2 linked regions of the Tamandua tetradactyla genome follow. The protein of the gene in region 2 interacts with the protein of the main gene of each other region in a pairwise test. Links are inferred from orthologs where the notes say so. Each region holds a gene or a part of one and is shown on either strand. Other genes may lie near its edges.

Evidence for each region.
Region 1: the proteins of TRIM38 (region 2) and RFC5 interact in binary tests that used the Homo sapiens proteins (3 or more experiments, as listed by UniProt). The link is inferred for Tamandua tetradactyla from reciprocal best matches to the Homo sapiens genes TRIM38 and RFC5.

The regions. Positions count from the first base shown.
Region 1 is NC_135331.1:18,316,417-18,320,164, reverse strand, and holds the start of RFC5 (replication factor C subunit 5), read right to left. Parts: upstream 2,498-3,748; 5' UTR 2,355-2,497; coding exon 2,293-2,354; intron 1,372-2,292; exon of another isoform or gene 715-1,371; intron 643-714; exon of another isoform or gene 540-642; intron 1-539. UniProt on the Homo sapiens protein: Subunit of the replication factor C (RFC) complex which acts during elongation of primed DNA templates by DNA polymerases delta and epsilon, and is necessary for ATP-dependent loading of proliferating cell nuclear antigen (PCNA) onto primed DNA.
Region 2 is NC_135351.1:29,230,195-29,233,942, reverse strand, and holds the start of TRIM38 (E3 ubiquitin-protein ligase TRIM38), read right to left. Parts: upstream 2,655-3,748; 5' UTR 2,334-2,654; intron 1,083-2,333; 5' UTR 937-1,082; coding exon 532-936; intron 1-531. UniProt on the Homo sapiens protein: E3 ubiquitin-protein and E3 SUMO-protein ligase that acts as a regulator of innate immunity. Acts as a negative regulator of type I interferon IFN-beta production by catalyzing 'Lys-48'-linked polyubiquitination of AZI2/NAP1, leading to its degradation.

The sequences.
Region 1 (3,748 bases), on a different chromosome or scaffold from region 2:
CACTGACTATTTTAAAGTGAACTCAAAATTGAACTCCTACCCCAATTCCATCAACAGATGAATGGATAAACAAAAGGTGGTGTCTCCAGACTTGGGAATATTATTCAGCTATAAAAAGGAATGAAGTACAATGGAAGCTACAACATGGATAAACCCTGAAATCATCAATGCTAAGTGAAAGAAGCCAGATACAAAAGACCACACATTGTCTGATTCCATTTACACGAAATCTCCAAAATAGGCAAATCCATACAGACAGAAAGCAGATCAGTAGTTGCCAGGGACTGAGGGGAAGGAGGATGAGAATGACTGATTAACAGTTTGGGGTTTTCATTTGGAATGATGAAAAAACTCAGGAACTAGATAGTGGTGAATGTGCTTAATGCCACTGAATTGCATACTTTTAAGATAGTTACAATGGTAAATTTTACATTATGCGGTTTTTTTTTACCACAATTTTAAAAAAATGCACTCTTTAGGTAGCCTTGTGTGAGAGCTCGGGGCCCAGAAGCTATGTTTGAAGCAGTGGGCACACCAACATGTCCCATGGTTCCAGCACAAGTTTTGACTGCCACATTATTGTTTTTTCACCTGAGGGCCGCCTCCACCAAGCAGAATATGCTTTTTTTTTTCAGGCGCATGGTCCGGTAACTGAACCCGGATTTCCAGCATGGAAAGCGAGCATTCTACCACCGAACCACCTGTGTACCCCAGAATATGCTTTTAAGGCTATTAACCAAGGTGGCCTTACATCATACATGTCAGAGGGAAAGACTGTGCAGTACTTGTCACAAAGAACAAAGTATCTGACAAATTATTGGATTTCAGCACGGTGACTCACTTATTCAAGATAACCCAAAACATTGGCTGTATGATAACAAGAATGACAGCTGACATTAGATCCCAGGGAGGGAGGCTGCTATGAGGTATAGAAACGCAAGTATAGCTATGAGATTCCTGTGGACATGTTGTGTAAATGAACTGGAGATATTGCTCAGGTCTACAGAGAACGCTGAAATGAGGCCTCTTGGATGTTGCATGATTTTAATTGGTATAGAGGAAGAGCCAGGCCCTTAGGTGTGCACCTGTGATCCTGCAGGTTACTACTGTGGTTTAAAGCCACTGCAGCAGGAATTAAACAAACCAAGTCAACCAGCTTCCTTGAAAAAAAAAAAAGTAAAGAAGAAATCTGATTGGACATTTGAACAGACAGTTGAAACTGCAATTACACACCGGTCTCCTGTTCTATCAATTGATTCCAAACCCTCAGAAATAGAAGTTGGAGTTGTTACAGTTGAAAATCCCAAATTCAGGATTCTTCCAGAAGCAAAAACTGATGCTCACCTTGCCGCTCTAGCAGAGTGGGACTAAAGAAACTAAGTACTGTAATTTGTTTTCTGAATCCATGAAGCCACTTGCCTATGCGTTTGGTAAAAACAAACCAATATTAGGGAGGCCTCTGTATTGAAAAAGGAACCTCTCCACTCCTACCCCTGAAGTGATCAGGACTCTATAAATAAAAACAGTGCTTTATTTGGGGGATTGCGTAGGATGGAAAGGGAAATGCAGTCATTATACCAAAACAATTTGGAGTTTCCAAAATCTGGCCAAATACAACCAAAGCATCACTAAGCATATGGATGTGGAAGTAGGATGGTTAAGAATGCAGGCTCTGAATTCAGACCGCTTGGGTTCAAATCCAAGCCTATTTTCTGCCTTTAGGACCTCAGGGAAGTCATTTAACCTTTTTAAGGTAGTTGCTTCATCTGTAATATGGGAATAATAACAGTACCTACGTCCTAAGAGGTTGTAAGGATCACAAGATTTAACGCACGCCAAACCTCGAATTGGCTGTGTGTCGCAGCCGTTTTATAAATGGTAACTAAAAGGCGTTGGTACTTTATTGTTTAGCTTAGCTTAGGATTTGACCAATAACGGTTTTGAAGATTTTGGCTGTCGAAAGAGATGAGGGTAACTGGGCATGGAAACCAATGAAGGGAGTCAGAAGACGTGGGATCGAGTCCCTGTGCTGTCACCAGGTGCAAAAACAGCGTTCCTCTTCGGCAAGGAAACTGAGGGTGAGGGGAGACCTGGCAAAATTTTAAGGTCCTGAACAGAATGGAGAGGGATTGGAGAATTGGGGGATGTCAAGGCAAACCTGTGTGAGTTCCGCCCCGGCCGCAGGTGCGCAGGAGGGGTGAGGTGGGCCCGGGCCCTGCCACTTTCTACCCCCACCATCCCCTCCCGGTGCCACTGATTTATCTCCCACTGCGACCGCAGGCCTCCTCCTACCAAGGTAGGTTTCTGCTCTTGTTCGCCGCAGGCTGCTGCTGCTTGAACGCTGAGGTCTCCATGGTGGAGTGGGGTGGTGCAGTGACACGGTCCGCGGCGGTCGTCGATCACCCCCAAACGATTGCACAGCTCCCCTGCGCAATCAGACCCTGGGACCCCAGCACTTAAGAGTTCGCGCGCAAAAGCAACTCTCGCGAGACTTGCTTTCCGGCTTCCGACTTCCTCCTTCGGTCCCGCCCCTTCCGTTGCTAAGGAGCGGGTTGCCTGGTTACCAGGGGGCGCAGGCCGCCTGCCTCCCTCCAGCTCCGCCCTTGGAGCCCGCGCTGTGCTCTCTCCATGGCAAGCAGCTTCTGAACCCAGACAGAAGGAGCGGGAGAGGCGAGGCCGTCCCCTGAAGCCGCCAGTCATTATCATTTCAAGTAAGGGTCTCACGGTCAAGGCCAATTGAGCCATCCTCTGACACATCATCAAGGTTCAAACACTTACTGTTCAAAGAACCGAAAGCTGCCGGGGCTAAAAATTCCGGAGGAAAAAACAACTCAAGTGATGCGGCCAGTTCTTGAATACAGATGCCCATCTATAAAAAGGCTCCCAGTACCTTTTGCTCCCATGGTTGGGAGGTTCAACTTGAAGTTGAAAATCAACCCCAAACAAACACAACTCCAAACTGCCTGTCTCCCGAAGCCTTGTCTCACCCCCAACAGAATTTACAGAGGATGAACTTCCAGAAAACAACCCCAGGGTGAAAACGAGACAGGGCCCTAGTGATCTGAAGATACTGAAGAAAATCGATATCAAAATGTTGGTGCTTTTTCTTTAACCTGAGGGGATAATGAATCATTTTTTTCTTTTTCTTTCTTTTTTTTTTTTTGTTGGCTTGCATTTCCCAGCAGCGAGCATGTATTACATCTGTAATAAAGTTGTTTTGTTCTTTTTTAACAATATGTGCAGAAAGGCAGGATTTACTGGGAGGAGATGAGGCTGGTCCTGGTGTCAGTAGAGTTCTGATGGAGACTTAACTGCATTCTTTGCACCTGATTACATCACTGCCACCTGCTTTAGAACAGGATAGAGGGGCAGTGGGCAAATATAAGGTAGCAGGTATACCTTTATCCTGGCTCTTACCTGGGGACCCAGAAGTAGCTTCAGATGTAGCTTGTGGTATGACAGTGCCCCGATCCCCTGCTTCCTCTCAAAGGCAACTTTAACAAGGGCAGCTGGGATCGTTTGCATGCCATCTTTTCCGCTTAGTCTTGGCCAGGTTGCTTCTCTCCAAGAATGCCTTCTCCAAGGTGGTTCTGAGGATTAGATGAAATAACACCTAAAGCAGCCGGCATAGCCCACACAGTGCCATCTCAGTCTCCTTCCTTTCTAACACACTTTCCGCTCATCCTGCTCTTGTTTCAAAGACCCCTCCCTCCCAAATCTAAAGGATTGGATGGCATGACAATGTTAC
Region 2 (3,748 bases):
TCTATGTGTTCTTCAAGAGTCATTTTGGGGAAGGCTTCCCTGATATCACTCCCTACTGCTTGGCCATCCTTCCCCTCCACCCATCACTCATAACAGTAGGTTCCACATAGTCTTTTTTGCTGGACTGCCTTTCCTACTAAACTATAGGATACCTAAAAGATTGCATGTCTTTCTCCCCTGTATTTTGATATTCTATAGCATGAACATCTCATCGTGGTTTTTCAAATTATACACATGGTGCAAAGCAGTAAAGCATGCAGCTGTAGACTTGAACACGCCAGGTTCTAAGGCAGAGAGAAGTCTGTCATAATCAGAGGGGGAAGGGGCAGAGGTCTGACCATCCCACTAAAAGTCAGGATAGACAGTCTGGATTTGCTTTAGAAAGAACCCATGACCGATTATTTGTAGAAGGCATGATGAAAGGTATATTTCAGGAATACTGAGTTTCAGACTAGACAATCCCAGGTCTTGGGGGCAGTGGAGACCAGGCACGCAGCAAGGCCCTCCGCCCCACCCCCCATGCCCACTCACCTTGTAGCCCTGACATACGTCTTCTATAAGAGCTGTGGTATGCCCTTTGTGCTGTGGTGCCCGCTCACAGCGCCAGCAGATGAGCTGGCCCTCATCTTCACAGAATACCTGGAGCTGTTCTCCATGTTCCTCACATATCTTTTTACGCTCCAGCTCCTTGATGACTTCAATGAGGCCTCCCAGCTGTTTGTTGGGCCGGAGGCTGTCCACTTGAAATGGGACCCGACACTGGGGACAGGTAGATTTCTCTGGCTGTGTGAGGCTTATACTCTCAATGAAGCCCATAATGCACAAGTGGCAGTAGCTGTGACCACAGCTGATGCTCATGGGTTCATCCATCAGGTTCAGGCAGATGGAGCAGATGGCCTCCTCCCTCATCTTCTTGGAGGGTATGCCTGAGGCCATGGCTTTTTTTTTTTTTTTTTGGAAAGCTCCAATACTGGACCTACAGGCCAAGATGAAGCAGCCAGAATTTTCTGCAGTGATTGAAATAAATCTCACCTGAGCCTCCGTGTGATGCGTTGGCCATCAGAGGTCTTGAAGTTGTCTGTCTAGAAGGAATAAATGGATTGGAATTTAGAAGATGCCTAAACATCCAGCTGTCATGTCTAATATGGTAACCACTATCATGTGTTGCTATTTAAATTTAAATTCAATAAAATTAAAAATTCAGTTTCTCAGTCCTGTTGTTCACATTTCTGATGCTTAATAGCCACAAGTGGCTGGTGGCTACACAGCAGTGCAGATATAGAACAGTCCATCACTGCAAAAACTTTTCATAGCCAAAGTGCCAGAGAGAGAGAGAGAGAAGCAAGGTAGGCCTCCTCACAGAACTTGCCCCAAGAAAGACAATTCGGTGAGGAAGTGTAAAACTCTAATATTCTAATGCACATCAAGAGTAATTATTATTAGAATTATCTCTTTGTAACTGGCAGCAACGTTCAGGTAATCCTTGGACTATTAAGGATTTTATTGAGACAATCAAAGTCTACTTCCCAACCCCAGTTCTCTCTATCCCACCTCCATCTCAGGTAGAACAAAACACATCAGATTAAAAAAGTCTCAGTGGAGACCCAACCAGTGGTATGAAAGTAACCAAGGCAACCAGAAGAACCGGAAGAACTTGTTTGTCCTTTTTCTTTTTCCCCTCCCGGCACAGAGAGAAGGATGGGGGAGGGAGCAGTTCTTCCTGGTAAGCAGAGCTCCAACAGAAATAGGGAGGTGACTGTCATTTTTCCAGGCCAGGACTCATCTGCTAGAAGTCCATGGTGATTGGGACACAGGGATTTTGCAGAATCCGTGGGCAAATCCACTGGCAGGATGGGGGAGGGGAGGTGGGAAGTGAGTGGGGGTGGGCAGATCTCTGTGGGGGTGCCAGGTGCTGGCCCCCCAACTGTCCACCAGTGAGGTCCTGGTACTCAGAGTTGGCAGAGGAGTGACCAGAAGCAAATAAATCGGTCCCCTCTCCCATGCTGCAGCTGCTTCCGGAACCCAGCCCTGTTGCCTCCCTCTCACCCCGGGAATTCCGGGAATTTGGTTGGGAGCAGGGAGAAGGAAACTTAGAGCGTGATCTTTCCTTTGAACTAACAGTGCCCGGAATTACAAACAGGAATTCGACTAAAGTTACCAGATAGATGTTTTCCCGGTGATAATCAAGACTGGTGTCTGGAAGCTGCATGCAGTTTCATCTGGAGGCTTCTGTGGGATGGCACATTAGGTCCGCCAAGGGACACAGGAGGCCCATCTCTTCCTGCGAGAAAAGTCTCCCCACCTCCTGAGGCCCTGGGGTGCCCGTCACTCACCTGGCATCTTGGCACTCTTTGGGTGTGGAGTCAGGCGAAAGAGAAAGCAGACCAGGGCTAAGAGATATAAAGCCGAGTCCCGACGAATTTCAGAGTTGGAGACGTTCTCTTTCCAGGAAAATACCCACCCCGCCTACACATACACACACATACTCATACATACATGTACTATGTGTCCCCCCACTGAGACGACCTGGGCCGGGACCTTTTCCTAAACCATCCCATATAGCAATCACATATTTGCCGCTAGTCCCCTCCTAACTGCCACTTCCTGAGGCCTGAGGTTGAGGAAGTTCCTTCAACCAATGAAACTCAGGAAATAAACAACTGCAGGAGGCGGGGCCATAAGATCTGGGGGACTGAGCCGGGAGGGACTGGTGAAGCCGAAGTGCAGAGGACAGCTAAAACACTAATTTTGAAATCACTTCTCAAAACTCTTCCCATAATAATCTCAAGGAGGGGTCCAACATCCCCTGGCAGGCAGACTCGCCAGTATGAGCAGGCAGAAAGGAGCCCAGAAGTGATGCCATCAGCTCTCTGATTATCTTTGCATGGACTGCTGCAGAATGCAGGCTAAAGTGAAGCTCATCCTCTGAGGTGGAGCTGAGCTATTCAGTTTGGAGCATGTGAATCAGCAGCTTCTCAGAGGAACTGTTTCAATGTCCTCATTAGTGCCCTGAATTTAGATGAGATGAATCCAAGCGGCTAGTGCCCAGTCTATGGATGAACTGCTTTCTAGGGGATCAGGTAGGAAAGAGCTTCCCCTGAGAAACAAGAGTCTATTTTGGGATACCCTCACACAGTCCCTGCTTGTTTTTCCTGAAACTTAGTTGTTGACAAGCTTCTCAGATCATTGCAGGAGAAAAACTGCACTCCTGAGCAATTAGAATTCTTCTCATTTAAACTGGGCATTCTAGGACCTAGAAAGAAGCTTAACTGAGGCCTTGGAGGCTTATACAAGGTTGTCCACACCGCCTGTCAGACTCCAGCCTCCCTCCTCTTCCTCGCTCATTCTGCTCCAGCCCCTGGCCTCCTTTTTGTTCCTGGAACTCACTAATTAAATTTTTCCTTCAGAACTTCTGCACTTGCCATCCTGTCTTCCTGGAATGCTTCATTCCTCTTCCCCTCCAACCCTTAAATACCAAATATTTACCCATCTGGCTCCCCCACTTCACTTAGATGTCTGTTTAAATGCCATCATGTACCTCATTAGAGAGGCCTTCCCTGACCTCCTGCTGGCAGCACCCTACCTTGCTACTCAGCACTCATCTACCTGCTGCTATAGCTTATTTGTCCATGGTCTATCTTCACTAACTGTCTGCTCTGCCAGGGAGGTACACTGTCTTATTTACAGCTGCAACTCTATGCCTAGAGGAGTACCCAGAATATAGTACATGCTCAATAAATATAGCCCA